Caenorhabditis elegans: one gene and its partners. The protein of the gene in region 1 interacts with the protein of each later gene in a pairwise test. Each region holds a gene or a part of one and is shown on either strand. Other genes may lie near its edges. The genes, in order: gld-3, gls-1 and pop-1.

Evidence for each region.
Region 2: the proteins of gld-3 (region 1) and gls-1 interact in binary tests that used the Caenorhabditis elegans proteins (3 or more experiments, as listed by UniProt).
Region 3: the proteins of gld-3 (region 1) and pop-1 interact in a two-hybrid assay, tested with the Caenorhabditis elegans proteins (one study listed by BioGRID).

Annotation. Positions count from the first base shown.
Region 1 is NC_003280.10:7,128,896-7,139,784, reverse strand, and holds gld-3 (Defective in germ line development protein 3), read right to left. Parts: upstream 7,143-10,889; coding exon 7,018-7,142; intron 6,970-7,017; coding exon 6,888-6,969; intron 6,847-6,887; coding exon 6,736-6,846; intron 6,691-6,735; coding exon 6,620-6,690; intron 6,578-6,619; coding exon 6,412-6,577; intron 6,368-6,411; coding exon 6,239-6,367; intron 6,195-6,238; coding exon 6,075-6,194; intron 6,029-6,074; coding exon 5,951-6,028; intron 5,907-5,950; coding exon 5,769-5,906; intron 5,722-5,768; coding exon 5,479-5,721; intron 5,431-5,478; coding exon 5,332-5,430; intron 5,284-5,331; coding exon 5,115-5,283; intron 4,973-5,114; coding exon 4,850-4,972; intron 4,806-4,849; coding exon 4,737-4,805; coding exon of another isoform or gene 4,648-4,736; exon of another isoform or gene 4,458-4,647; intron 4,402-4,457; coding exon 4,324-4,401; intron 4,280-4,323; coding exon 4,040-4,279; intron 3,993-4,039; coding exon 3,566-3,992; intron 3,447-3,565; coding exon 3,074-3,446; intron 3,030-3,073; coding exon 2,981-3,029; and 4 more. Other genes in the region: T07F8.4 (ELM2 domain-containing protein), read left to right, coding at 7,769-7,850, 7,902-7,958, 8,001-8,110, 8,160-8,355, 8,403-8,755, 8,808-8,869, 8,911-9,088; F10E7.1 (ATP-dependent DNA helicase), read right to left, coding at 10,859-10,889. UniProt on the Caenorhabditis elegans protein: Required maternally for germline survival and embryogenesis. Forms a complex with gls-1 which promotes the oogenic cell fate by freeing the translational repressor fbf to repress sperm promoting factors.
Region 2 is NC_003279.8:8,734,265-8,745,439, reverse strand, and holds gls-1 (Germline survival defective-1), read right to left. Parts: upstream 8,369-11,175; coding exon 8,222-8,368; intron 8,173-8,221; coding exon 8,022-8,172; intron 7,320-8,021; coding exon 7,132-7,319; intron 7,034-7,131; coding exon 6,957-7,033; intron 6,905-6,956; coding exon 6,811-6,904; intron 6,764-6,810; coding exon 6,434-6,763; intron 6,337-6,433; coding exon 6,017-6,336; intron 5,969-6,016; coding exon 5,775-5,968; intron 5,690-5,774; coding exon 5,451-5,689; intron 5,403-5,450; coding exon 5,294-5,402; intron 5,249-5,293; coding exon 5,012-5,248; intron 4,882-5,011; coding exon 4,766-4,881; intron 4,723-4,765; coding exon 4,530-4,722; intron 4,480-4,529; coding exon 4,316-4,479; intron 4,252-4,315; coding exon 4,072-4,251; intron 4,025-4,071; coding exon 3,943-4,024; intron 3,892-3,942; coding exon 3,697-3,891; intron 3,636-3,696; coding exon 3,493-3,635; 3' UTR 2,892-3,492; downstream 1-2,891. Other genes in the region: C36B1.9 (RING-type domain-containing protein), read left to right, coding at 58-662, 970-1,591; dhfr-1 (Putative dihydrofolate reductase), read right to left, coding at 8,517-8,667, 8,710-8,862, 8,909-9,039, 9,084-9,218; prp-4 (Pre-mRNA processing factor 4 (PRP4)-like domain-containing protein), read left to right, coding at 9,733-9,819, 9,885-10,037, 10,104-10,241, 10,284-10,563, 10,610-10,777, 10,827-10,944. UniProt on the Caenorhabditis elegans protein: Required maternally for germline survival by forming a maternal complex with gld-3. During hermaphrodite development forms a complex with gld-3 which promotes the sperm/oocyte switch freeing the translational repressor fbf to turn off sperm promoting factors.
Region 3 is NC_003279.8:2,825,625-2,834,148, forward strand, and holds the start of pop-1 (Protein pop-1), read right to left. Parts: upstream 4,688-8,524; 5' UTR 4,670-4,687; coding exon 4,495-4,669; intron 2,975-4,494; coding exon 2,856-2,974; intron 1,450-2,855; exon of another isoform or gene 1,259-1,449; intron 1-1,258. UniProt on the Caenorhabditis elegans protein: Transcription factor. Part of the Wnt signaling asymmetry pathway. Binds to the consensus sequence, 5'-(C/T)TTTG(A/T)(A/T)(G/C)-3'.

The DNA of each region.
Region 1 (10,889 bases):
TTACGCGTGAACATCACATTTTGAAAGAAAGTCAACATATGATGACCTCATTATTAAAATGCCACGTAAACAACATAAAGAACTACAAATTGTCTGCTAAACCCAAATTTCCGTTTGTTGACGTGGAATTATTCAGTGCAAAAATTATGGAAACTTATAAGCAAAACTGGGGAAAGAATCTTGCTTCCTTCAAAACACACGAGATTATCAGCTCCCTCCAAGGATATCATTCAATTCCCCGTGCATCTCCTGTTATATCTGCGAATCTACACATTTTAGTACTCTCTTATCAGAATAAAAATCCGATCTAAATGTCAGCCATTTGGGATTAGAAAGAAGCGATAAAGTGAGAGAAGTGATGGATATTATTGAAATGTACAATGAATAAATGTATTTTTAAAAATTGAAGAAAAATGAAAAAGAAGACGCAGAAAGAAAAAGGATCTACAATTTAATGTAAACGTCCTTACTATCAGTCTCCGTTTACACAACTATTGTTGATAAGAAACGAGACAAAAGGGGCATCAAAAAGCGAAATATGGCGTAGTTTCTTCTGTCAAAGGTTATTGTTTATTGTTTGTCAAACATTTTTATGTTTTATGATTTATTAATTCTTATCGTTAATTATTATTTTTATGCAAAGAAATGGATAGCACTGAACGCGGTTTTGCAACAACGAAACCAAAAAGATAGTTTATAAGAAAACATAGAGTTACTAAAAAATTGTTTAACACAGATTGTCTGCCTAAACACCTACCTACTGCCTACACAGCCTGTTTTTTTAAATAAACCCTGTTTTGGAGCATTAGGTTTGTTTGAAAGAAGGTAATCATTTTGCTGCCTAGATTAAAGTTTTTCATGTTTTTTCTGCCTAATTTGATGTTTATACTTGATCTGACAAGTTTGTTTAAAATAGAACGTAATAAAACATGCTGCCAATTTTTTCAAATCTTATTCATTTTCAACAAAAGAAAATTAAATTCAGTTATAAGAGATCAATAATTTCATCAAAAAGCTTCTTAAAATATCATTGGTGCTTCCCAAAAAAGTTCACAGAGCGTACGTAAATGAGCGATATTTAGTTGGTCAACGACGCTAATATGATTCAGATTTTAAGAGAGATCAAACTTTTGAATCATAGAATGTTTCGCGTAGATTCAAAAATATATAAAAATTGAAAAGTGCAAATGAAATAACTTATATGAATAAGCCAAAAAAAGAATGTTCAATACGAGAATATGTTCATGAACATTAAGTGAATGCAATTGAATAAGGCAGACAGGTTTACTTTGAGTGTCTTCTCAAAATCTTTTGAAGAGAGGTAATCAGATAATCGATTCTTCTATTTCTTTATCTTTATTCAAAAAAGAACGATTTTTTAAGCTTTCCAGATGGAGTAGCTTTAACGTGGATTTATTTTGAATTAACTCATAATAATCTAAATTCACTCAAAAAAGCACTTTTTGCACAATTCAAAAAAGAATTTCAAAAAAGCACAATTTTTGAAATTTTCAGTCAATGTTTTGGTCAATTGCCAAATTTCGCGAAAAATTCAGGAAAAATTCGGTTAAAAAATCACATGTTTCAGCTCCTACAATAATAAAATAATTATTATTAGAAACATTTTAATAATGAAAAAAAATTGTCGACTTCCAAAATTATGATGAGTGTGGAAAACCGAGTCATCGTCATTTTAGTACTATATGAGTGATTTTTTAACAATATTCCCAATGCACTACTATCTTTAATTTGAAAAAAATTTACACATATACATATTAACGAAAAATCCAAGGAAGTCTGTCATCAAATCTTCTTTCCGTATTAAAAAAAACAAGCGTCGTTTTGAATAAGAATACACATTTTTTGGTTTGGGAAAAGAAGATGATGCAGATGAAATTATGGAGTGAGTAGAGTCAGGCGGTCGAAGATTGGCTCATTTCAAGAAATAAGTGCCTCCAATGGACAGTCCGTTTCAAGAAAAAAGAGAGACCTCGCTTTACGATTATATGGAGAAAGTGTATCGATTCAGGGAAATTCAGGAAAAATTTTTTTGTTTCTTCTATCCTTTTATCGCTACATTCAAGTGAGACGAATTAATTTTAGTCTTTCTAAAATCAAAATCTTCCACTTGTATGAAGACTATGGCGAGGATTTGAACGACCAAGAGACTTTCCATATTAGAAATTTAGAACATTATCAATGAACATGTCCTTGCTGAATCGAAAGTTGTCGGACGATAAGATGTGATTAACAACAATATTTCCGCAATTCTTTCATTTATAAACAGAACTGTAGAGGAAATTGGGATAAACTGCTAATGAAATCCTAGTTGAATGACGAAAAAAAAAGAAAAGACAATAAAAGTGGTAGTGTATATGAAGTGATGAAAAAAGAAAGGAAAGATGGAATACATTGAAACAAACCTAGATATGATGGGACCCGGGACAATATTGCGATCAAAAACAACTGGGAATTATGGGAGAAAAAAGGAAGAACATTAAATATAGGGAAGGGAACATCGACAGTGCCATAAATTGCAATTGGAAGTATAGATGCACGAAAATTCTGAATTTCATTGTGAATTCATTTAATTTTTCATGTTACCTATGCTTCCAACGTCTGCAAAAGGAATGAAAAGATAGAAAAATGACGAACGAAGAGGTGACAACAATGAAATAATACGGGAAGAATTGGAAAATAATTTCGGTTAAAATAAGTGTAGAACTGTGAAGGCTAAGCACCAACCATCGGCCTAGTCGTATAAGTCCCGTGGATACAAAGATATTCTCGACAGGCAAATGGATGGTTTGTAAGATAAAAATTGATGGAGCCGTATACGATATGCACAAATAGGGTTCATATATAGCGAAAATTGATGTAAGAAGTAGAAGAAGCTATTGGAAAAATCCCGATTTCTCAATATGTAGATGTTTCGTCTGAAATATATGTATGTTAATTAGCCAATTGTGGATTTACAAACCTAACGAAAGATCTTGGGTTACTGTAGATTCAATACTTTTGTCGGCGATCTGAAGCTTTACAGATAATTATGGCAAGCCAATAGACTACTTGCCTCTTTTTCTTTTTCATTCAGAACATCGCTAAACTGCCTTTCATGAATACGTGGTAGTTGCTCACTCGATTCACGAACACTAGCTATTAACTTCATTGGATCAATTCTGTATTGTCTAGATCCCAACGAAGACGTATCATTTTCTGCTGACTTCTCTTCATCACCGTACTCATTTGAGTATTTCGTCTTGTGTTCTAGGCTTATTTTGCCATAATCTTTCTCTACTCGAGCACGTGGTTCCAATATGGTTTTTGTGACTCCGTTGTCGCCAACTTTTCTGAAGCTATCATATGAACGAGATTGATGTGTGGATGCATGATCAACAACGCTGTATGCACCATCAGAATCGATGTATCGGGCGGATTGACCATCTCTGTAAAATGTTTTGATTATATGAATGCTTAAATATGTATTTTTTGCAAATTAAAAATGCTCATTTATGATGTAAACGAAAAGCTATAAACTCTTTTAATTTCAACTTTAAAAACGTACTTCTCGGTAAAACAGCTAACTGTTCTTGGTCTTCTTCCCGATTCATTGATATTTGCATTGGATAGGAATCTCTGAACAAAGTCTCCATCCATTAAATCATTTCCGAAGCCACTTGCAGAAACTGTAGTATCAGAATCATTGTGCGGTGACTCATGCATATAAAGCTTTTCATGATCCAAATCAACATCATTCGATTTCAACTTCAAGTGGTGTGTCATTTGCAATTGTACTTGTTCCAAAGACGGGGACCTCTTAGCTGGCCCAGAATTTCCCACATGAAAGTCGTATTCATTGGAATTGCGAACGTCTCTGTGCACATTAATTGTTCTACTTGAGTGAATATCTCCACGACTTCCTGTCTTCCAGCGTTGTTGATCATCCTTCTGAAGTCTTTGATGCTGTCGTGGGTACTGTCTTTCATATCCTTCTGTAATAATTATGATTTTATCAATTTTATTATTGTCATAGTCTTACGGTCGTGCATGCTTTCAACATTCTGATCGTCTCCATTCACTGATGTTCTTCTTGAACCAATATGTGAACGAAGATCATCTTCTCGAACTTGTTCGTAAACACGTTGACGAGGTGTTGTCGATGGATAATAAGAACCTGTGCTCGATGATGGTCGATTTCCCATGTTTCTAGACGGTTTTCTGATTTCTTGTGTTGATCGTAGAGATGGTGATGATTCACGGTGATTTCTGTGTTGTTCGGCTGAAAGTGATTGTTGCAATGATGCTTTGAACGAATAAACCAACCTTCATTTACCGGAAACAATCCGTGGACATAAGGAAAACCATCAAATACTACAGGATCCGCAAATGGCAGAGCAGACACTGAAACACAAAATTTCAATAATGATAATTTTTACGAAGACATAGAATATTGATGGAAGCTAAACGCTTTATTGTGGTTGAATTTACGTAATAAGATCATCACAACCGGGTGAAAAGACAAATATTACATAGTGGCGGTAGGAGGAACAAGAGAAAATTTTGTGGCTTAAAACTATCCAGAATTTGGCAAATTTTTCATGAAGAGCTCATTTTACACGATGAATATATAACATGACGAGAGATCTTCTAAAGGTGACCGAAATTTCCGTTCAAAAAGTTAAAGTTCTGTGGAACTATGTAAGAAAATGGATAAATATTTGAAGAATAACGCGCACCAAAGGATCCATCGACGATGATCGGTGGAGGGAACATGATATGTGTGCCAGGATGTAATCCAGCTGCACCTGAAAGCTTGTATGATTGTCGAAACAAAATATATAATAGCAACCTTTCAAAAATGTCTGAGCTTGCTGATGTTGCTGCAAATAGACGTATTTCAGCATGTGATGATGAGGAGTTAACATTGGTGGTGCAAAATGTGGCGTTGGAAATTGCATAATAGGGACGGTTGCTGCAAAATTTCCTGATTTTAAAGCACTCTGTAGTAATATTATTATCATTGTTATTTAAATAAATTTGATATGCTTTTCTTAAATAATTTTATAGTATAATTTGTGTGTACTATTTACAATCATAAAAGGCAAATTGCTCACATGAATTTTCGGAAAACGAAGATACTCTTGTGTGAGACCTTGATGGACCCCCAGACGACTCAGAAAATTGTTTTCCTTTGCTCATGTAACTGTGTTTGGAACGAGAAGAAGCTATTGATGAGCTTCTATGACGACGACCGTTTGAACCATCAGAAAGTTCACCCCGACACTGAAAAAATCTCGTTTTGAACTAAAATGTAAAATAAACATGACTAACCGGCATATTGAAATTTTTCAAAAAGTTTGCCGGAAGAGAATGATGCCAGATGGAGTTGTCATAATCATTTGGTTGTGGAGCAATGAAATCAAATTTTTTCTGAAAATTACTTGTTCTTAATCTCATTTCAGAGAGACGTGCGCTTACCGAGAGAACTTTTTGATAAGCGGTGTACAGCTTCTTTATGTTAAACTCCTTCGAACGAAGACTGGCACAGTTCAACGGAACCTCTCCTGACAGTAGATCCGCGGGCTCATACACGGAAGGAGTCATTTTAAGAATAATCCCACTCTCATCAATAATCATGTGTATGTTCCGATCAGAAACTCTGCTCGGTTCTGCCATATCAGTATTTTTAATGTTGAAACACATCGAAATAGGAAGGAGGTCCTGTAAATTCTCGAGTGTATATCTTTCTATGTATTCATACTCCTCACCATTATGTATCTCCTGGCTTTAAGAACATTGTCAATGTTCCCAACAACTTTAATTTCATAAATATTTCCACGAGTTTCGTTTCGATTATTGTAACATGGATAACTAATTATTGTCGTTGTCTCCCTCTCGATTACAGGCTGAAATTTAATGCTGATGTAATAGAAATATCCTTTAGCCAAACCATGAGTTGCGCCGTCGATGAACTTCCAAGAACTTGATCCACGTAGTATGTTGACAATGTGAAATGGAGAGTGAAATTCTGAAAAACAAAATGTTCAGGATATATATTCAGTTTATCTGCTAACATTCTCCGGTGCCGGAGACTCGCGGAAAAGTATTTCATTCAGTCGTTTTGCAGCTTCGATCAGTTCATGCTGATTCTTTTCGCGGGCGGTGATACGAAGATAGGTTGTGACGATTCCATTCTGAAGAAAATTAATACTGTTGGTTACTAGCTAAATCGGCTTGCCTTTTCTGGAGCATCGACGAAAGACATTTCCACATTTTGAATGGGGTTCTGTCTGACATGTGCCTGAAGTTCGTGAAGTGGCATCTTCATTTTTGACAGTGCCATAAAAACTGTAAAATGACAGTTTCTCTGTAAAATACGAACATTATTCATATAATCAGAGTTGAACGTACTCTCATCAACATTCGTGCTCTATCCACGTCACCAAAGTATCCAGTGATGGTTACTTGCTGTGCAAATGGATCAGGTGTAGTTCCTCCGACAGAACGATCGGGAAGTTGAATGAGGGTGTTAGTTTCTGCCATGATTGACGCGACATTCTCGTGATCCCCGTTGTCACTGAAATGAATACAATTTCTTTCGCTTAACTGGTGAACTAACCTGGTCATTAGTGAATAGTATTGGGATTCAAACTCCATATTGAGGGTTACTCTAGTTGGGTTAATCTCGATCTAAATGTTGAATCAGTTAATCAGTGGAATGTGAAGCAGTCAAACCATTGGTATATTTGACGGCAGAGGCAATCCTTGCGCTTTTAGCTGATGAATATGAGCCTCTCGTTTCGTGTTGTATGACACCTGTCGTCTCTGATTAGCATCCTCCGCCATCTGAATTGTTTGACTGTAACATAACAAGTTGTTGCCTTTACCTGTGCAGATTGCTGGAAATCATGATAGAAGTTTTCAGGATTCACGATAATATCTTTGAGGGCAGACGATACAAATAGTTTTCTAAAATCGGAGTATTAGAATGTTGTAAGCGTAAACCATATTTAATACCTTGCAGATGCCGCATTTTCTGCCATTTGGAGGCGTGTGTCAGCATCGTATTCAACGGCAGAGCGAACGAATGGATTGTAGGAGTGCGCTTCATCATGATCTTTTTCATGGCTTTGCTCCCCCATCTGCAAAATTGAAATCTTGTTTCTAACACTAAAGCGTTTGCTCAGTAAATTTTTTGAGTTTCAAATATTTTATAAATGATCGTCAGTGCCTCCGTCGATGTTACTGGTATTAGTATCATCGTGGAACGATTAATTACAGATAATATTAGCATTATAAGGATGAAATTGCACGAAAACAAATGAGAAAACACACTGAAAATCACGCTGAACGTGTGTTCGAGGAATTGGGCGCCAAACAATCTCCTTGAAGAACGTTGTAAGACCTGCTCGATTTCGGTAATGCGCCTTTCTGAAAACTTTCTTGGTTACTGTACTTTTTAAATTTGATTAGCTGCCTAATATTAGGGGCGGCTTCATTTAACAGACTGAACATTTGAATTACATTTTAATAAATTGTTATACTATTTTGTTATATCTGTGTTGCTTTCTACTTTTTCAAAATTAACTTCCCCTTTTTTAGAAACACCCATTGGCTTTGCATCATTTTTTATTTTGCGAGCTACTGTAAACAAGTCCGCAAACACCGCACACAGAGAATTACGTCTTAGTCGACGCGCAAACCGCTTTAACTTATTTTCGCTTTTTCCGTTTTTAATACAACTTTTGTTAGTTTCCAGGCTTTGAATATGGATGAAGAGGGTTCTCGTTCGTCTATCACTGATGAAGAAGATTATGTAGACGATAATGATAATGGCGAAGACTATGAAGGTATGCTTATATATATATTTTTTCAAATTTCTTCAACGTATGGTTTTCCAGCGACAATTGAAGAGGAGGAGCTTCTAGATGAAGGGGACTACGAAGATGAATTGAAAGGTGAATTTCTTTAATTTGCTTCTGACTCATTTTTCTTTTCAGACTTGGAAGATGAGGGAGAAATGTCAATTGAAGAACTTCAACGTAAGTATGGCTATCGTCCAGCGGAAAATTCATCTGCAAACAATGAAGATACGGAAATCGCCGAAGAAGTAATTTACAAATGATAAAGTGAAATTATAAAATGTTTATATTTTTCAGAATGTAGGGGAATCAAGTTCGGCTGCTGCAGAACCGCACGACTCAACAATTTTCGATATGGGTAATTCAATGAGTGGCTTCGACGACGATGATGACGACTATGCACCACCGCCAGACCCATGGAAAAGAAGTATTCGTGTGGATCCAGTACTTTTCCAAGCCGACGTCCCGCTTTTTAATGAAGCAACGGTTGAAGGTAAGCAATGATCTGATTTTTGATTCTATATCGATTTATTTCTTCAGAATCTGCTCGAGAAGATGACACTATTTTATGGACAATTGATCAGACGAATCAGCCAAGTGATGAAGTTATTGACAACTATCTCAAAGATGTAGTAGGCTTACGAAAAGCCCACGACCAACCATGTCCACCAGCTGGCACCGAATCACGAGACGACGAGGACGCTCTATGTGCTTTGTATAGAAGCAACTTTGACACAGAAAAGGCGAAAGAATCATTCCCTTTTCCTCATATAAATGCCCCATTCCGCACTGTTCGCTCAGATGCATTGGGATTCGATGAGAGTGAAGCAAAGGCATTTGAAGAGTCACTCGAGCTGTATGGAAAAGATTTTTCGCTGATAAGGAGACTACGGGTTAGTTGTATATTTTGCAAATTCAAAAAGTTTTCATAATGTTTTATTTTAGCTACCCTACCGGAAAGTTGGAGAACTTATCGAATACTACTATCAATGGAAATTAACCCCTGGGTGAGAGAACGACGATTTCAAATTTTAATAATTTATTTCAGCTATCGAGTTTGGCGGGACGCTCATCCACAGCATGCGCCAGTAGTTCAGCCTCATTTATCTGCTGCATGGCATCAGCAAGTAGCTCAACTGGAAGATCAAAATGGTCAAACTGGATTTGTTGAAGCCTCCTTCTCCGAGCCATCTACTTCAGAGGAGCCATCAACTCTTACGAACTAAAACTAGGGAACTATTTTTTTACTTTTTCACCTAAGCATTTATTATTTTCGATCTCTGTTTAACAAATAATCTCGCCCCTGATACCCATTTACGTAATCACAACAATCAAATTCCTTCGTTGTCAAATTAATCTGAATCAAATATTCACTTTCATAAAATTTCATTGTTAAAATTAGAGTTTATCAACATTGATGACGACCCGTACACTGTCGGACTTCGGTCTCCGTATCATCACACTCGATTTCCTCCCAGTCATCATTTCTAGCACGTACAACACGTCTTCTTCTGGTCTGTGATCCTTCACCACATGTAAGTGAAAAACTGGGAGCCCCGTAAAAATATGGTGGAAATATGGAGCAAAAAGCATACCAATCGGAAGATAATGTTACTGTCTACTGAAAACCAACATTTAATTCTGCCATCTCGGTCTCAGTATCTGAAAATTTGCATCTGAAATTTTGGTGTTAAATCCCGTAGATTTTGCACTTATCGACCCCGTTTTCAGAGAGAGAGAGAGAGAGTAAATTATAGCTACGTTCGCACTTTTGTCTTACCGCATAAAATCCAATGCGCGTGCTCCAACCAACCGCAGTTGGCCCATGATCCAAGGGTACACCGAATTGGGGGTACATTTGTTCTTAGGGTACATTCGACATCATCACAATCATTCTTAGGCTACATCCACCGGTTTGTTCATAGGGTACATCGGCACTATGTTCCAAGGGTACATCCAATTTTCAAAGGTGTTGGGTATCTACGTGTACCTAGCCCTCAACGTGGATATGAAGATCGTGCAACGTGAACTCATGATCTATGTATACTAACTTTCTATTTATTCCTTTGTTATTTATGTAATAATAAACTACTCGTCTTAGCCTCCTGGTTCAGCCTCGAATACATAACATTGTCGAATACATAACATCGAATACATAACATCGAATACATAACACTCATCATCTTTTTTGCATATGATCACAATTTTTTCGTTTTTTAACTGCTGTATTGAAAAATTCGAATAAATTCATAGTTTTGTTTCTAGATTTCGATTTTGTGAATTATTTATCAAAAATACTAATGCGAAATGAAATTGAAATCAAGAAACAAAACTATGGTTCAATACGGCAGTTAAAAAACAAAAAATTATGATCCTATGTGAAAAAAATGAGAAATCACAACTCTAAGAAATTTCAGTTATAAAAATCCGTTGTACCCCTTGAAAATTGGATGTACCCTTGGAACATAGTGCCGATGTACCCTATAAAAATCTTATGGATGTACCCTCTGAACAAACCGGTGGATGTACCCTAATAATGATTGTGATGATGTCGAATGTACCCTAAGAACAAATGTACCCCCAATTCGGTGTACCCTTGGATCATGGGCCAACTGCGGTTGGTTGGAGCACGCGCATTGGATTTTATGCGGTAAGACAAAAGTGCGAATGTTGCTATAATTTTTAGTATTTTTAGTCAGTAGCGAAAAAGACGCCCGTAGTCAAAAAGCCATGTAGTCAAAAATCCAGTAGTCAAAAAGTATTTCCCCAAAACTATACTGATTTGGGCAAGTGATAAATTGGCTGAAAATTGTTTGAGCAGCACCGAGGTTTGATTAATAACAAATTATCTATGGGAAAGACTGAGGCACTTTTCATCGATAAGTTTCATGAAAAATCAAAAAACGAGAAAATAAGTTTGAATTTATGAAAAAAAATTGAAAGCAATAAAATATTTAAAAACATGCAGCAATTAAAAAGGTTAACAACGGAAGCATTTAATTAATTGATTGGCTTTCAATTTTATTG
Region 2 (11,175 bases), on another chromosome or scaffold:
TACAGATTGAAAATTTCAAATATTTTCAGTATTTTACTGTTAAATTTTAATTTTCAGGAAATGGTTGTTTTCCGTCCACCTACCAGTGGTCCAGTGCCAGTTCGTCCACTTGTAGCACCTCCACAACCACCAGCTCAACCTCCAGTTCAAGATGTTGATACAGTGTTAGAAAGAGAGCAGGCCGCCCGTGCAGAAGCAGATCCACGTAGGCATTTGAACGCAGTACGAGAAGCTCATCTTCGAAGAGAACGAGAAAGTGCTCAAGAAAGAGAGGCTGCTGTGAGAAATGAACAATTGATGAGACAACTTTTGGATAGAAATGAAAATATGCAGAATGTTCATATTGACAGAAATGATCCATTCTCTCTGTTTAGACACTTACAAAGACAAGAAGAAAGAGATTTAGAAATGCATCTGAGATTTCGTAGAACACTTGATCAAGACAGAGATCGAGAAAGTATGAGAAGAGTTGCAGATGGACTTCCACCAATATTAGATCATGATGATGTTGATGTAGAAGAAGATGATGATGAAAGTGTTGCTTCAGATAATTCTTCATTTGTTGATGAACCAGTTGAAAGACCACCACCACCACGAATGACTCTTGGAGAAGCTGTTACTATTTATAGAATGATTGAAGTTTTCTCACCAAGGCATTTTAGGTAAGTGAACCTTTTTAACCAATTATATTGACCAATTAAATTTTTTTACCATTGTAGAATTTTCACTTTGCAGCAATGCTCGGAATTATTCAAAAAATCTAAAATTCTAACCATGTAATAAAGGTATATGTGGGAAACATAACTGTCCGTTACCGCCGAAGTTCTCGTAATCTACCGTACCTGACTACTGTAGAATAACGGTGAAATTGTATTGCCCGTAATTCTCATTTTTATTTTTAGATAGATAGTATCCTTTTAAAGCCATTTTGAAAGTGACCAATCTTTAAAAAATTAATAAAATTTTCAGACACGGACCTGATAGCTTCTCACTTCCACATAATCATGCAAATCTGAACTCTCTTTATCGAGAACTTTTACCTCCAAATAGCCCAATAACAATTACTGATACGATGTCTGATTCTCAACTTGCTGATCTCCGTCGTTATTCTCAAGCAAATAATGTTGATTGTGACCGACTTCTTCGAGTTCTTCGTCATCACAGTATTAAATTTGCACCTACAATCGTTGAATCTCCACGTCTAACCGAAAGACGTCGTCGTCGTCAACGTCCAGTTCCAGCCGATGATTATAATGCTCATCTGTCAGTTATCAGAAAAAGAGCAAAAGAAGCACTACGTGGCAATCGACCAGAGCAACCAACAAATGGAGAAGAATCAAACTTGACGATTCGATTAATTGTAAATTTGGCGAATTCAATGGGAGTAAGAGAGAAGCTTGATGACGTCATTTGTCCACAACATAGAGCTCAAGAAGAGGAAAAAGAAATGTTTGTTCCACGAACAAATGGCTCAACTCGACAAGAAATGCTCTTTTGTAATGTATGCCGATGTGAAGTTCCAATGGGATCCAAAGCAGTTCATTCTCAAGGAAAACGTCATATTGCGGCCATGGCAAAGTTTGTTTTTTAAAAATGATTTTGTAGCTCAGAAAATAATCACTAATTCAAAAACAGTTCGGAGAAAATATTTTTGAACTTTTATTGAACATTCGAATAATTTTTGATTTTTCACAATTTTTTCTGGATACATTATTTTGCTGGAAAACTAAATTGAAACTTAAAAAAAAGAAAATAATACAGCAATAAAACGTTGAAAATTCGAAGAACATTACCAAAAACGATGGCTGGATTACTGTAGGTATGAAAGACGCACGCCTTTTTGAAAATGAATTTTGTTCGTCGCGAGAGTAGGTACAGTCTTTTTGACTAAAAATTTTAAAGTTGACGCAATTAGGTAATCTATTTAAATTTTATTGAAAATAAATTGGGCATTATAATTTGAACATAACTAGTTTGGCAATTCCAAAAAAAAATTTCAGCCGAACCAAGCCAAATGGGCAAAAATAGATTTCGCGGATGCATATATCAATATCGCCAACTTCAACAAAAACACTACGGATCGAATTCGTCCAAAAATATCGATTTTTCACTTTAATTCTCAATCTCTTCGAGTAATTTGAGTTTTCAACATTTTTATCATGTTTCGTGTTCTTGCTCAACATTTTAATTTTCCTCAAATCATATTGATCAGATATGTACATATTAAAAATATTATTGTTTCTTGATTAAAATCTAAATTTAATGGTGCATTGACACGATATACAAATGTGCCTTTAAACTAATTTTTTATTAAATTCAATAATATTTATATAATGTCAAATCATCCAAAAATCATCAATTCTTTCACACAGTGTCTTCCAAGCTTTGCAATATATTCAAATTTGTCTGTAACTTTCTGAAATTTGCCTATTTTCCAATTGTTCATCAAGCCTTTTCATCCTCAGGATCATCTGATTTTTCTTTTTTTACCTTTACTTCCCGAACCCTCATCCAAAATTGTCATTTCCTGCCATTTTCAGTTTTCAATCGATTCTAGAAAAGTGTCCATCGGGAACATGACGTAACAAGGTCCATTCATTTTTTTTTCTGAAACAACTTACTCCATTTCTAAATAATCTTCGAAAGTGGTGATTTTAATAATTCATTCCGTGGTTTCAATTTGTAAAATCCCGATTATAATTAATTCCAAATGCATTTTCTTAGTTGTCGCATACTTTAAAAACTGTTCAATTATTTCATTTGTATTTCATTTTTAAAAATGTGTAAAATTTTATGTTAGTGTGAGTCATCATTTCACGAAGCGATTCTCGAATTTTTTGTATCCCAAATGTTGTGTTTTTCTCCTCTATCAGCATAAAGTTTTGTAAATATTTTTTTAGTTCCACCGTTCATTTCGCACCTAAGAAACAATTAAAATAATTGGGAAAATGAAAGAAAATTTAGAGGGAAGAGAGAGGGAGAGAGAGATAGGGTTACAAAAAAAACAAGAAATCAACGATATTATTCTTGAAGGTGGAAGACGGGGTGGTCAAAAAGATATATGTATATATAAACAAAAATATGTATAAATTAAAAAAGTGAATACCTAAACGAAAGAGAGAAATGACCAGCATTTTGAAATATAGAAAACAGAAAAAATTGAATAAAACTAATCAGGTGGTCTTGGCTTGTGAATTATGAAGAGAAAGAGAACGTTTTTCGAGACTTCAGTGATAATTTGTTATAGTTTAAACGAAGTTGTACCACGTGTACGTACCTAACGAGAAAATGTCGCTTTAAGGATGATGATGGCAATCGGGATGTGATGGATCAGAGAAATTCAATAATACACGTGTCGATGAAAATTAAAATGTGTGAGCGTTAAACATAAACAATGAAAAAAAAATTGGGTGAAAGAAAGAACAAAAAAAGAAGAAAACTATTACGAAATCACAAGAATTGATATAAAAAGGAGCAGCAATTCAGCATCTCTCAGAAATTCGAATTCTGGTTCCCGCCCCCACTGTTTCCGTTGACTCCACCAGTATTATTTGAGTTTTGTACAGTTCCCTGGGCATGATAGTATGCTATCGGAATTTGCGGTTCATATGTTCCGTTTGCACGAAATTGTCCACCTGAGAAATTATTGTGTCATGTTGAATCAATTATTCTAATTTTTAAAAGTTTAATACATACCATTATGGAATATAGTATTCTGAATTATGTGCTGTTGTTGATGATGATTGAAGTGATTTGATCCTAACATTGCTTGCGGATTTTCAATGTATACTGCATGGGGGAGGTTTGCATGAATTGGAGCGTATGAATTGGAAGAGGAAGTTCCACCATTTTGCTGAGAACCTTCCCCGTCTGAACGAGTTCTATGATCACCTTAATAATTGATTATTCTCATTATTGCCATCTAATTCAACTTGTACATGCCTTTCTTCGATAACAATGTTTGTTTTTCACAGTGTTTCGGAGCGTGAGGACCGCCACAATTAGAGCAACTTGGGAACAGCGTCTAGAAATTGAAAATTTCTCAGATTTTACGAAAATTCGAAATCAAACCTGCACTTGTGTTTGCGGGATATTTGAATAAAGGAATGGTTGCATATTGACAGGCAATTCAATCGGGTCAATGCTTCCTGTTGCATTTCGTTTGAAGTAACGAACTGGAGATTTGGCACGTGGATTCTTCCATCGAGAATATATTAATCCATCCGATGCTTCGCGAGTTTCCTGCAATAGCTTTATTTCGGAATAGATTCGTTCTTTTCAATCAATCTAGAAATGAACAGTATCAGAAACTAACATCTTCTGTTTTCGCTCTGGTACCGTTGAACTCTTCACATATTACAGCTGACAGCATCATTCTAGCTGGCAAGTCAGAAAGTTCATTGATGTATTGAACATATTGAGCTGGAGTCGCATCACGAGCAAGACGTGGAACAATACGCTCTCCGTTTGGAGCAAACGCTGCAAAAATAAAAATTGTAAATTAGAGACTATAAATTGAAAATACATACTCTCCATTGTAGATGTGCTCGCTGAAAGCTTTTTGTTATCATCGTCAAATGAAGAGTAGGATGTAGTGCATCCTTGATGAAGATATTTTTCACTTCTCTGTTGTCCGAACTCATCAAGAAGACGATGCTGTAGAGCTTTCAATTGATCACGAGATCTTTGAGCAAATGTTCTGTCACCATCACTCCAATGAATCTGAAAACCTTTATGATTTCAGAAACTTCAGGTTGCGTGTTACCTCCAGGCTGAAAAGATTATCGTTCTTCTCAATTTGTCGTCCAATAAATCGAATGATAAAGAATGTTCCCGGAACTGATGGCGACGGCTGAACTGGATTACTCTCGAAACGCGAACCTGAAAAAAAGATGCGGAATGTTATCAGTGATTTAGTTGGAATGTTCCGAACTCAATTCATCGACTAATTATCGAAAAATTTCTAGAAATGCATGTGAAAAATTCTGTTAAATATTAATTAATTGCTTACCCATAACACCTGATAGTGGCTCAAATTCTTCCTCTGATTCATGGTCGGAATCAGTATCATTCTCATCGCCAACAGCTTGTGATGATGGTACAACAAGATTGCTTTGCTCCAACTGTTTCTGAGTTGTGTAGTATTGTCTAAACAATGTTTCTATTTGAGCACGTAATCCGTCCCGCAGAGCCGCATATTTCATTTTGTCATCAAGAGTAATTGCTGGGTGATGAGTCATGGCTGCGACTGAAACAAAAAAGTATACTCCAAAACACGGAAATGAAGACTTACCAATTTTACCGATTTCTTGTAAAACGGTAATTTTATCAAGTTCATCCGGAATACGTTCGAGTATTTGGCTCTTTTCTCTCAGAATAACATTTTGAACATAGTCAGAGATCTTTAAATAAATCGATTAAATACCATCTAAAGTCGTATTCTGATTCACCTTAGCAGCTGATTTTCTATTTGTTGATGAACAAACTGCCATGAGAGTGTATATGTAACTGGTAAGATCGAGAACAGATTTGAGAAACAATTCTGGTTCTTGAGGGACCGGTGGTACCGACTGTGGTACAGTCACTGAAGTTGGATGTGCAGGGTTTGCTGCTGTGGTGGAGATGTGATTAGAACCGGGCTCCGGTTCTGGTGATGTTGTATTAGATTGGTTGATATTGCCGCTCGAACCTGAAAAATGTTGCGAATTTGAGAGGGAAATTGTGTTGTAAAATACATTTTTTAACTGTGTCAAATAATGATGAAGATTTTTTACCTCTTGCAGTATTTGGTTTGGAATCTAGCTGTTGTCTATCTGATGGAATATTATTGCTTATTCCGTTCACACTACTTGATAGCACAACTGGTACATTGTTAACATCCTTATTTGCAACGGAAACTGATGATGAAGGTGTCGTACAAGAGGTTGAATGATGAAAGTTAGCATCAGGTGGATACATAATATTCTGCCTGAAATAAAAAATTTTTAAATTATAATTCACCGACAATAATGCATACATTCCGCCTAATAACGGTGGAAGACCAGGTGGATGTTGCTGTACAAAAACCGAGTTAACTGCATTTCTTGTTTGATACAGGGCAGCATCCGCAATACCAGGAAAATAATAAACTTGTTGCGGTGGAGGTGGAGGAGAGCAAACGAATTGAGGTAAACCAGCTGTTGGATCCGAACAGTTTGAAGTCTTTTCTACTGGCCGCATTTGATTGTTATAGCAACGAACAGATCCTTCGATACAATTTCCAAGCAGGCGAAGATCGGTTGGAGACAGGAAAGAAACAAGTTCACACATAAACTCCACCTTATCCCATTCATCGTGCTGCAATCCAAACTACGTTTTGAAAACTAATAACTTTTTAAAAATTTTGTTTGAATAAAAATGATAAATACTAAAATGTCTTGTATTTATGAATCACCTCTTTGAATGCCATCACAGAATCCATATTTTTCGGATCAGTGCTCTTATATGGCATCGGCTCTTCATCACGCTTGATTTTTGGTTTTTCCTTCTTCTTTTTTGCTTCTTCGACTGGTGGATCTGTTTGAACTATTTTGGATTCTTGAAAGATGGGAATAGCAGTCGGAGTTGTGCTCACTGGAGGAGCAGAAGACGCTGATATTTGTCCCGCAGAGGATAGGGAAGAATTTGACAGAAATCCAGAAGATTTAGCATTTTCCAACGAGTGATAATTATTGTGGTTATGTGTGTAGCCACCTCGATAACTTTGGTTCGAATGATCACGATTCTTAACATTAAAATTAATTTTTATCGTAATTATACGTTTATACAAACCTTATTCTTTCGGTTCTGCTGATTTCCGCTAACATGGTTTGAATGATGATGATTATGGTTAACCTGACTTTGCCTATTACCACTGTGAGTGTTTCTGAACGAGCAAAAGCTAAGGATTTGTTTTAACTAGTTACTGATTTAATTACTTCTCCTTTTCCTTCGGCCGATCTTTATTTGTGGTTCCTTTGAAAGCACCCGATTGTGAATTAGCAGTGTTGCTTGTCTGCAAGTGAATCATAAACAGGTTGAGAAAACATGTGTTTTAAAATATGAAATAATTATGCACGATAGACTCAGTCGAATTTATCTTCGCCTACTTACCTTCTCAAGCTCGTTGTGCCCAGCCTTTTTGGCAGGAAATTTAGAAATTCCAGTTTGCTGTGACGTTGAAGAAGTCGATGAAAGTCTTTGATGTGAATATTGATTTTGAGATTGACTCTGCTGTGAAGAAGGTACTGTAGTGGTCGTAGTGGTAGTTGAGGTGATGGACGATGTAGACGTCGAAGCGTCTGAAATGAATATAAATAAATTCTATGAATCTTGAGAGTTGAATTTTCTTTAAATTTACATTGTTGCTTACCGCATTTTAGAGACCCTTTATGTTTCATTTTAACGTTTTCTTGAGAATTTTGTTGAAGTATTCCAAAATCAGAAGAGAATACATAGAAATAATAGGACATTGAATATATATATATATATATATATATATAAATCAAATTCTAAAATTAAATCAATAAATATGAAATGATTAATATAGACGTTCCAATCTAATTGTTAAAATTTAGATGCTAGAAAAGTCATTGCTTATCACTCATCACATCAATAGGGAAATCAAATGTAATAGTTTGGGTTATAATAAATAAATCGACTTTCGCACCTTGATGCTTATTGAAAAGAGAAGAGGAAGAGATGGAAAAGGGGCATCGTGCCTGTGTTGGTGGCCTCTTTCTCTTTTTTATTTTTATTATATATGTTTGCCCTCCTCGGTTCTGTACTCGTCTATTCACTTTCTTTCTTTTCTTCGGGGTCATTTTTTAAGCACAGATTGTGAAGACCAAGGTCTCCAAAATCTCGATTTAAATGAACCATTGGAAATTAAGACACAAAATTTTGAATTAATTTGCAATTGCTGCAAGAAAATTCTAAAACCTATTTAGGAACAGCCGTCCTTGTTATTTCAAAACAGATTTGTGAGAAACGTGTATACGTACTATTGCTGGAAGTGTTATCGTTGGTGACGCTATGACTGGAATTGGAATTTTGTCCAATTTGTGATGAATTCTGAGTTGTTGCAGCGGCAGTTGCTGTTGCGTTATTCCCGTTCATCGTTGACCCGTCTGTACTTTTCTTTTGCTGATGGTTCTGAAACTAGGGAAAAATATGTCGAATTTCACTATCTTTATCAACACACCTTTTTATTGGCCATACTTTTCATCAAAATACCAGTTAACCGAGACTTCTTACGCTTTTCTTGAAGAGTTAAAGCTGTGACGTCTGAACGGATAAATTTTAAAAAAATAAGGAAGGAATGAAATAAATAAGATATCAAACATCGCATACTTACGATGAATTACAAAAAGTTAATAGTAATAAGAATCATGTACAGATTTTATATTTACACGTGAAAATTGTGGGCTGCCCGAGTAAACAACAGGTGAATGAATACATATAAATTAAAAAAATAAACAGCAATTTCAAAAAAAAATTCAGTGGTTCTCGACAACCTTCCATTTGCAAAATTCGAACTTTAATCCATTTTCTTCGAAAATTTCTGAATTTTCCGATGACACCTCGGCATTTTGAACTTTCTCCATTTTACTGAAATCGAGTGACTTGAGATGAACATCGGCTTCGAAGCTGAAATTACGACAGAGTAAAAAAACTGTGCAAGCACCCTACTTTTTGAAAATACGTGTCAAGTGAATTTCATCAACCAAGTTTTCTCGCAACGCAAGATCATAGATTTCAGCTCCACCGATATTCCAGATTGTTTCGATCGAATCCACAAATGGTGGCTCCGAAAGTAGTTTCATAGCCGCTTCGAGCGAGTTTCTGAATGTAACAACAACAGGTTAAATATTATTTCATGACAGCTTACACAACAATGTAGTCATCGGACTTTTGCGCAGGAAGTTGTCGGCTCAAAACAATGTTTAGCCGTCCTGCCAACGGGCGGCGAGTTACTGGAATGCTTTCCCAGCATTTTCGTCCCATGAGAACTGCATTTCTCTACAAAAGTTATGTTACAAGTTTAGTTAGAAATCTCGAACAACCTTCGACTGATCAGAAACATTTTTGGTAACAGACGCGAAATACTGCATGTCTTTCTTGATTCGCCATGGCAACACGCCATTTTTGCCAATTCCTCCTTCGGCATCCATAGCCACTATTAAGTTCATTTTTCTCATTTTTAATGCCTAGAAATAGAAAATAACTCGATTGAGATACCAGAGAAAATTTTAAAAACGGGTAATGAGAACTTTGCACAGCAAAACGAAGCACATTTGAAATACGCTTCCATTCGACTTCGTATCGACTGAAATCTTCAAACAATACAGATTTCGAAGATAAAGATAATGAATCGTGGGAAAATCAATAAAAATAGATAATCAAAAAAAAATGAGGGTGAAAATGAATCGAGAAGAAGTGAGAGAACCTCAGATTTCTTCAAATTATCATTAGAGCGCGATTACTGGTTCCCACTTTCGAAGAATTTTCACCGCTTTTTTTGAACTTTTATGCCATTTTCTTTCCTTTGTTCACTTTAAAATGTTTTAAACTTCACAACTAAATATAATAAATTATAATAAAACTACAAGCCCATTCCTATGTCTCACATCTTCGTTCTGAATGTCCTAATATATAACTTCATATTCTTTACAGTGGTTTTTAAAGTAATTAAATTTTTTAAGAGCACACAAAATGGCTGAAAATGGCAATTTTGCTGTTCCAGCACCGCCAAGACAGTTTGGATCACTGGCGAATGCAGAAAGCGTGAATGCAATCTTGGTATGTTTTTTTTCATGAATTCTTTGACTATGTTATTTTTTCTGAATTTTAATTTAAAATTTCAGAATGCACAACAGCAAAACCATGGACCCACAGTGTCTTTGGAACGAATGGAAGTATCAAATCAAGCAGATTCACGCCACGATGCTGAAATGTTTGCAGAATTTGATAGAAGACGGAGAGCAAGAACTCTCACATTGCCAACAGATGATGTTCAGGTACAGTTTTGATACATATGAATAAAATTTTTTTAATAACTACCCACTTGAAGATATATTTTAAAGGTAAAACTGAAACTTCGTGCTCTAAACCAACCAATTTGTTTGTTCGGAGAAGATGCATTGGATAGAAGAGAAAGACTTAGAGCTCTACTTTCAACAATGTCTGAAGATGAAATTGCAGCCGTTTTGCATACTGATGAAGTAAGTTTTTCAATGTTTGAAAAATTATTTAAAAATTTGAAGGTGAATGCTGATAAAGCAGACGAAGAAACCGTTACTTGGTATCATCGTGGTCCGATTGAACTTCGGATGGCACGCGTTTCAATCGCTGATTTTTCTCTAAGAAAAGCTAAATTAAGACTTGACAAAGCTCGAGAAGAAGCTGCTCGCCCTGCTCACGAAAAAGCTTTGGCTCGTCAAGAAGCTCACAAATGGGTTCAACAAATCAATCTTCATGCTTCTCAAGTTGCAGACACACGCCCTGTGGCTTTTTGTGAATTTTCAGCAGATTCTGAACATATTGGTTTGTTTTTTCTAAGTAGAACTTTCCAACTAATCAAAAACTTCAGTTACCGCTGGCTGGTCCGGATCAGTGGCAGTTTGGAAGCGAGAACAATGTGCTCAAGAAATTAAATTTATTGGACATTCATCTCAAGCAGGGTGTGCACGTTTTCATCCCGGTGCATTTACTCAGAATGATTATTCTTCTTTGAATGTGGTTTCGTGTTCGTATGATGGTAAATATAACTGATTTTTGCTCAATTTTCTCAAAATTCGTGATTTCAGGAACCGTTCTTCTATGGTCGCTAAGCCAGGAATCACCAATCGGAGAACTAGAACAACATCCACAAAGAGTATCTAAAGTTGCGTTCCATCCAAATGGTCATCATCTCGCTACTGCATGGTAAGTTTTTTAATGGTAATAACACGACGATTTTAGAGCCGAAAATACGGTAATCGGTCTCGACTCGACAATTTGTCGTTAAATAAAAGCGTGTTCGCTTTTTTAAAGAGTACTGTAGCTTCAAACTTTCATTGTTGCCGAATTCGGCGCTGAGTTTTCAGCGCTTTTTCGTCTAAAAAATTAGATTATCGTATTGAAATAAACAGGTTTTACAGTTGCCAAAAATATTCG
Region 3 (8,524 bases), on another chromosome or scaffold:
AAATGTTCGTTTTAACGACACCCTTCATACGGGTGTCGGTTTTCCCATTTTTCAAAAAAAAAATCGAAAACATTTTTTTCTTTTTTTAAAATCAAATTTTCCAGAAAACATTTCTAAAAAAAGTGCAAAAAAGCAAATTTCCCACTAATTTTTAACCCAAAAAAATTTTTGTAGCACTCTCTCTAACTCCCTGAGCGGCTGGCCCCACCTGTCCTACAGTACCCCCGAGAAGTTTCTTCTCGGAAACTGTTGTACTGCTCTGCTCAATATCCTCCAATCGGCGGCCGCTCGTTAACAATATTTGTTTTGCAAGTCTCGTTCGCAGCTCATTAGAGTATCTGTGTTATCACTAGTTGCTCACAGAGCACAAAACAGTCACTTGAGATGTGGAGGGGCTTAAGTCGAAATGGAATAGATACGGATCAGATTTTCCGATTGTTGCCTCAAAGTTTTTTTTCAAATTTATTTATATATAAATATTTGTACTCTCTGAGAGCAACTTTACATTCAATTGAAAGTTTCAAAAACTCGAATTATTCGAAAATACCTAAAAGTAAAACGGTAATTGGTCTCAAAGCGACCGACTTTTTGAATCTCAAAAGACCGTGTGCCCTTAAGGAGTACTGTAGTTTTCAAGATTTGCCGCACAGCTCTGAAAGGTACGGTAGTCATTCAGTTTCCACGAAATCTACTAAAGAGTTCGAATTCGTCAGTGAAAACTCAAATGTTTGAGTAGATTGGTGTATTTAGTCACTTGTCTACAGTACCCCTAACGAGAAGGAGTTGAAAAAAATGTAGAGGGGATAAAATATGGCAATTTTCGCGCCAAAACTACAGTACCCGATCTCGAAGCGAAGTTAAATTCAAACAAACTTGCGCGCCTTTAAGAAGTACTGTAGTTCCTTTAGTTTTTGCTACAAAAACCGAATGGAAAATCGTTCCTAATTTTTCAGAAAACCTTGGCTCAACCTGTGCATGTGGTGTCAGGCTGCCCCTTCACGGTTTGATCTACAAAAAATGCGGGAATTTTTCACCCAAAAATATGTGACGTCAACAGGTTCTTAACCATGCGAAATCAGTTGAGAGCTCTGCGTCTCTTCTCCCGCCTATTTTGTAGATCTACGTAGATCAAGTCGAAATGAGACACTTTGACACCACGTGTCTGTGTACAGTACCCCGAGAAGATAGGCCTAGTAGGTAGGTACGGTAATCATTCAGATCCCCGCTAGCTCTCAACAAATTCAAAAAACAAGTGTCAATTCTCTACAGGAAGTGGCACCAATCATGTTCCGGAAGCAATTAGAGCTCTCTCACACTTGTTCTGGTGTGGGGTCATCATCATTTTGTAATGAATGAATACGAACACACACACACCTTTTGAACCTATTGTTTTCCGCGTCTTTTTGTCTGTAGAAAAAAGGTGTCCAAACATGTGTGTGTGGGGGGGGGGGGGGCCCAGAGGTGTCTAATTGTCTATTGTATCCGTGTCTCGGGTACCAGCAACCATAATTACCACCACCATCGAGACCCCCCAAAGTGACGCAAAAGGAAATAATTTCGGCTCTTGACATGATGTTCAACAATTCAAAAGAAATTTTTGGTGTTTTTTCGCCAATAGTTTTTCGAGAAAAACAAATTGCCAAAAAACACGCAATTTTTTGGGAGTTAATGAGGCTTCTCCAACAAAAAAGAAGAAAAAACTGTTTTCGAGGAAATGCAACGAGTTTTTGGATTCAGAAGATAATAGATTCAGTTTTTCGGTGAAAATTTTGTAGAATTTCTCACGAATTTTTGGCTTCCCTCATAAAATGAAATGGAAGAGTTTTTGCCGAACTAGGTCATTTTGGCTCAGTAGATTTACGGCGCGTTGCGTGTCGCGTCGCGGCTCGATTTTAGTTGTAAAACTAAATGCACTTGTCCGTGTGGAGTACACGACTATCCCAGTCCGGCGGGCGATTGTCAATGGAGCGCGAAAAATTCAATGAGGAAGGCCAGAACCCCATGGCGGAAAGCCAAGAATTTTTGGATTTGGAAGACAATAAATTCAGTTTTTTAGTGGAAATTTTGTATTATTTCTGCTTTTTGGGGAAGAAAATTGTAGGAAGAATAAAAAATTAATACGGTTTTTTTTCTACAAAAATGGAGAAAAGCCCTAAAAATTCTTGAAATTGGGTAAAAATTTGAATTTTTTTTTTTTGGAATTTCTGCTTTTTTGGGGAAGAAATTGTTGGAAAAATGATTTTTAATAGGATTTTAAAGCAATTTTTTGCAAATTTCGACGATTTTTGATTCAAATTGAAGAATAAGCTCAAAAATACACAATTTTCCATATTTTTCAATAAAGCTTTCGATTTTAGGGTGTTTTTTCGCTTTTTTTAAATAATTTTTGGTGTAAATTCTTAAATTCCAAAAATATAGAGGCTCTCGAACCCTTTAAAAATTCAAAATACATAATTTTTCCCATTTCTTAGGCAATTTCTGGGCAAAATATTGAAATTGCAACTTTTAAAAGTATTTCTAATGCCTAGACTACATAATTTTTCTAATAAAATAGGGGGAATTGTCATAAAAAGGATTTTAAAGCGATTTTTCGTCGATTTTTGGGGGAAATCTTGAAATTTCAACTTTATAAGGTATTTATAACATATTCGAGGCCTAATATTCACCTTTGTTTTCAGATTTTTCAGTGAAAACTTCCAATTAAAGCCGATTTTTTGCCAATTTCGGTAATTTTTCGTTCAGAAGTATTTAACTTGTTAACTCTAAAATACAATTTTAAGTCGATTTTTGTCGATTTTCGCCAATTTTTATGTGTTTTAATTCAAATTTTTTCAATTTTCCAAGTAAAAAATCACCATAAATAGAGGCATAAACATGGGTAAAGCAGCTGCCGAGTATCCAGGACTGAAGTGTGACATTAAACCGGGAAACGATGGTGACATTGGTTCGACTTTTGGAAATGCACTTTTTAACACTGAAAATTTGATAATTATTCGGTTAGAATGGTTAAAAAAGAGCCAAATTTTTGATTTTCAACCGATTTTTTGGCAAATTTCACAATTTTTAGTCAAAATTCTTTAAAATCCAATTTTATAGGGTTAAAGATTTCATTTTTCCAGATTTTTTCATGAAAACTCCGATTTTAAAGAGATTTTTCGGTAATTTTCACAATTTTTAGTTAAAATTCTTCAAAACTCAATTTTATAGGGTTAATTATCTCATTTTTCCTTCAAAATTTCGATTTTTGAAAGCGATTTTTCGCAAATTTTCACAATTTTCAGTTAAAAATATTTTAAAATTCAACTTTTATAGTGATATCCGAGTTCAAAACCTCTCATTTTTTAGATTTTTCAATTGAAAATTCGATTTTAAAGCGATTTTTCGTAAAATTTTAAAAGGAATTTCTAGCACCTCTAAAGGCCTGAAATACATAATTTTTTAGATTTTTCCATTCACAGATCTCAAAAAAGGTCAATTTTTGGCGCCAAGTTCAAATTTCTCAGATCAATTTTGAATATTATCCAATTCTTAATCCTTTCGCACCCCTATACAGTCTATTGAGCACACACAGACGGACCAACTTGTTCAAGTACTCACGACGGATTAGCACACAAGATAACGGACCGAGATAGTATGGGATTCGGAGAGACGCAGATGGTGTTCGAACACCGTTGCGTAACATCCTTTTACGTCATTATGTCATTGCGTAAGGCCCGGGACCATCAGGTCAATTCTTAGGGGTGTTTTGAAATTAGCATGGATTTTTTTAATAGAAAATAGTGAAAACCGGAAAAAAAATTGGTTAAAAATGAGTAAATTTCATTTATAAAGTGTTAGAAATACTTTAAAATATAAAAAATGGCGAAAAATCGCTTTAAAATTGGTTGAAATTCAAAATAACACTGAAAATACTCAAATTTGTCAAAAAAAAATATTTTAGCGATTTTTAATTAATTTAAATTCCCGCGCTTTTGTCTCGATTTTGAACTCCGCCCATAAAACCGTGCCGCACTTTTGCACTTTTTAATTTCAACGTAAAGTCCAATTTTTGGGTTGTTTTTCTAGCTTTTAATGAATTTTTCGGCGATTTTTAAAACCTTTTTCTCCATTTAAAAACTGAAAAAAAACCCCCAAAATATGGATTTACGCTGAATTTGAAAAAAAAACAAAGTGCGGCACGGTTCTATGGGCGGAGTTTAGACAAAAAATGCGGGAATTTAAATAAGGTTTTTTTTTCAAATTTAATGATTTTTTTCTCTTTTTTTGGGATCAGTCTTAGCATTTAAAGTTTTTATTTAAATTATTTAAATTTAAATTTATATGTATTTTTTTAATATTTAATGTCCCTTTTTCCTGCAGAAATTTAGAAATTTAGAAGAATTTTCAAATATTTTTTTTGTGTAATAAAGTCGAAAGGCAATTGAGGTGGTCCATAAAATTTTGTGTGATAGCTGGCCACCTTCCCCTTTCGATCAAATTTATTGGAAAACTCACCATCAATCGATGGATTTCGACCGGCACCGTCTAATTCTGCTTCCATTACAGCTTCTTTTTTATCATCGGCTAACTGTTGTTCTGACGTTTCACCACTAATCATTGGATCATCGTCAGCATCCTCATCCCGACGGAACACCTTCACCTCATCGCCGAGCTCTTCGTCGGCCATCATTTTTGTGTATTTTTATATCTGGAAATTTAGAGCATTTTTTAACGATTTTAATGGGAAATTGACGGAAAAATGGAGGGAAAAGAAGCACGGAACCATTTAAAACAAGAAAAAAGGGGGACTAGGTCCGCGGAAGTTAGGCCATGGAGAGGGGAAAGACGCGGGAAATTTGAATTCGATAGGATTTTGGGGAGAAAGTGGAGGTTTAGACTTCTAAAATTGGAAAATGTTGAATTTTTATTGAATTAGAGATAAATTTTGACGACAAAATCGAAATTTTAGATGAAAAACTCAAGAAAAATCAGCAAAAACGGTGAAATTTGTTTTAATTTTAATTTAAAAAATACTTTTGTCCACCGTAACTTTTAAAGGCGCATGCCGCTTATTTTGGTGTGGGTCTCGACACGAATTTCGAACAAAATTACTTTTCTTTGCTTAAAAATGTCGAATTTGAGCTGTTTCGTTGAAAAAATAATTTGAAACGAGGAAATTTCGATGTGAAATATCTAGAAATTGATCGAAAACTTCGAAATTTGTTCAAAATTAAATTTTCAAGTATTTTTGTCTACCGTAACCTTTAAAGGCGCGTGCCATGTATTTCAATGTGGGTACCACCGCGAATAACAATATTTTTCGGCTTATTAATTTGTAATTTGAGTTTTTAAAAATAAAATCATAAATTTTAAACAAGGGAATTCCGAACAAAAAGGAGAAAATCATCAAAAATCTTTAAATTTGTTTAAAATTCGCATTTTTCGACATTTTTGTAAATATACCGTAGTCTTTAAAGGCGCATGCCATGTTTTTTGGCATGGGTGACACCACGATCAGACTTTAAATACCTTAAAATTACCTATTTTTGACGTAGAAAATTACTTTTTTGCTTATAAATCCGAAACGCGGGAATTTTAAATTAAAGAGCAGGAATCGATACGGTGAACAAAACACATCTGTCATTGGCAACAGATGGCCTAGCCGAAAACTAGGCCGCTACTCGCTCTACAAAATTCAAAAAGAATGACGGGAAAAAAAAGCGAAAAATGTTCGAATGAAGAAGTTCCTCCAATTATAAAATGCAAATAAACGTAGAACCCAGCAGGAGGTAGGAGGGAGGATAGTGGAACGAGGAAAACGAGGCGAAAAGGATCCATAAAATTCAAATAAATGACGGACCGGGGGACGTGAGAAGAAGGGGGGAAGAAGACAAGAGGCGGTTGGTGGTGGTGTATGCGCGCGCTGTCGGTAGTGCACCATGGCCCCCCGCTACACCAATTTCTCTGCGTCTCTCGCTTTCATCGCTCATCAAGGGGCCGCCCATGCTAAATGGTGTGTGAGAAGGCCCTGTGTGTGTGCGCAGGTGGCCGACAATAATAGCTGTAGAAGAGGTTAAAAGAGAGCATGGAACTTGAAGAGAGTGGAGGTTGAGTGAGAAAAAATAAAAATCAGATTGTCCTGAAAAAAACCATTTAAAAATTGATAAGAAGTGATTTTTGTGGGCATCGGTAATCGGTAACCCGGGGCGTCAATATATATTTTTTATCGAAGTGTTCATTTTCTTCGTTGTAACTCACCGGGAAAACCGTGAGAATTGGCGGAGAGATAGAGACACAGCGTGTTTTCATCTTTTTTTCTTTTTTCTAATTCTCCTTTCACTGTGAATGTGACCCCAGTCAGATAAAAGAGAAAACGGAAGGAGACAAATGGCAAAGACTATCCTAAATTAGAGGGAACACACCCTTTTTGGTAGCGAAATTGGTTGAAAATCAATAAAAATTAATAATTAATTCGAATTTTCCGAGAGGAGTACACGTTGCTTGAAGGGTACGGTATTTTTTTAAAATTTTTTAATAAATTTCTGAATAAAATCGATTTTTTTTTCGATTTCGAATAGTTCTTTGTGAAATTGAGTGAAAAATTGAAGAAAATCAAAATAAACTGCTGGGAAATCTCGAATTTTTCTAGATTTCCGTTTTTTCTGCGGAATTTTCCCAGAAATTAGAGAAAATTACCTGGACAAGTGTAAAAACGAGGATGTTGGGAAAACGGAGACTAAAATTGGAGAAAATGCAACGAAAAAGCTTGAAAAAAATAAATTTGGCTGTATTTCGGGAACACTGCGAAGCAAATTCAATTTTTTTATTACGGGATCACGAAAGTCTAATAACGCGTATTTCGCAACATATTTAACGCGCAAAATATCTTGTAGCGAAAACTACAGTAATTCTTTGAATGACTATTGTAGGTCGATTTACGCGATCTCGATTTTTTTCCCATTTACTTTATTTAGTTTTTTGTCATTGCCGAATGATAAATAATTTCCGTTAATCGACCTACAGTAGTCATTTAAAGAATTACTGTAGTTTTCGCTACGAGATATTTTGCGCGTCAAATATGTTGCGCAATACGCATTCTCCGAATTTTATGTTACCGTAAATAATTTTTAACAGAGGAAAAACAACTAGAAAAAATCAATGAAAATTTTTCATGGCCAACTCTTCTTATGGAAAAGTGTAAAAATACAATTTTTAGACTATTTTGTTGGTAATTTGTGTAAAGAAAAGTCGCACAAAAACTACAGTAACTACAGAAAGAATTGAAAAAGTAAAAAAAAATTCTCACGAAAATTAGAGAAAATCGAGAGGCAGATGTTGTTGAGCCACCAGGCGTAACAGACAATGAGTGTCTGGAAATGTCTAGTAGTAATAATCTAGAAACGCTGCAACAAAGAAGGGCTATTTCCGTTCTCACCCATAGGAAAGGTGACAGGTTTTTAGTAAATAGGGGGAGGTGGTGGCTCTGGCGATGAGCTGGAAAAAGAAGGTCATTAAGCGAGAAATTTGAATAAAACCTAATCAGACCGCAATCGTCGCGCGGAGAGATACGCATCTCGAAAATTCATCCATTTTTCTTGCCTGCCTAATTTGAAAATTGCGTGGCGACAGCCAGCTATCCGCACTTTCCATCTTGGTGGGGCCCCTCCCCGAAGATGGAGCGGAGTCCCCCTCCCTGTCAATAATTTATGTAAGAATATTGGGGTCTCTCCTTTAGCACTCGGAGTGTAGAAAACATCGATTGATCATCAATTGACATGCAACCATCCGCGATGCTGCTACTGCTGTTTCACGAGGGATTAGCGTGGAAATGTGAATGTGTGTAGAAGCAAAAAAGGAAAGAAGAGAAGAGGGAACGTTTGAATTTTTGAAGGACATTCTGAGATGAAGAGGGAGAGAGAGAGGACAAGCGTAACCATTTGTTTATATGAAAAAAGGTGGAATGTTTTGATTCATCTAGGCGTGAAAATCTCCCGGGGAGCGGTCGGTGCCACGTGGATTTTTAAATTTTAGGTCTCAACGCGACCGCACAATTTCATATGACAGGCGACAGTAGACACCTTGCTAATTCGAAATTTGCTTTCATTCTTATTACACAGTCGCAAAAATTCGTGTATTTTGTGTAAAACGCGGTCTTGACACGACACATTTTTGTTGAATTCGAAAAGGAATGCGCCTTTAAAGAGTACTGTAATTTCAAGATTTTTTTGGACCAAAACCGCATATTTTCAGAACTAGAAAAATGTTCAAATTGATAAAAATAATTGCAAAAAATTATACAGAACACTTAAAGGCGCATACAATTGGGCGTCAAACGATTTTTTCCGGCAAGTCGGTAAATGGCCGGAATGGAAAATTTCCGGCAAACTGGCAATTTGTCAAATTTGTCGACAAAAAAAATTTGCCGAACACCAATTTCCGCCCACCCTGATGAAAGTTTCCTATCGAAATCGACAAAAAAGAGAACAACCGTTACTGTACTCCTTTGCAAGCCCTATTCCAATTTTTTTCCAAAAAAATATGTTCA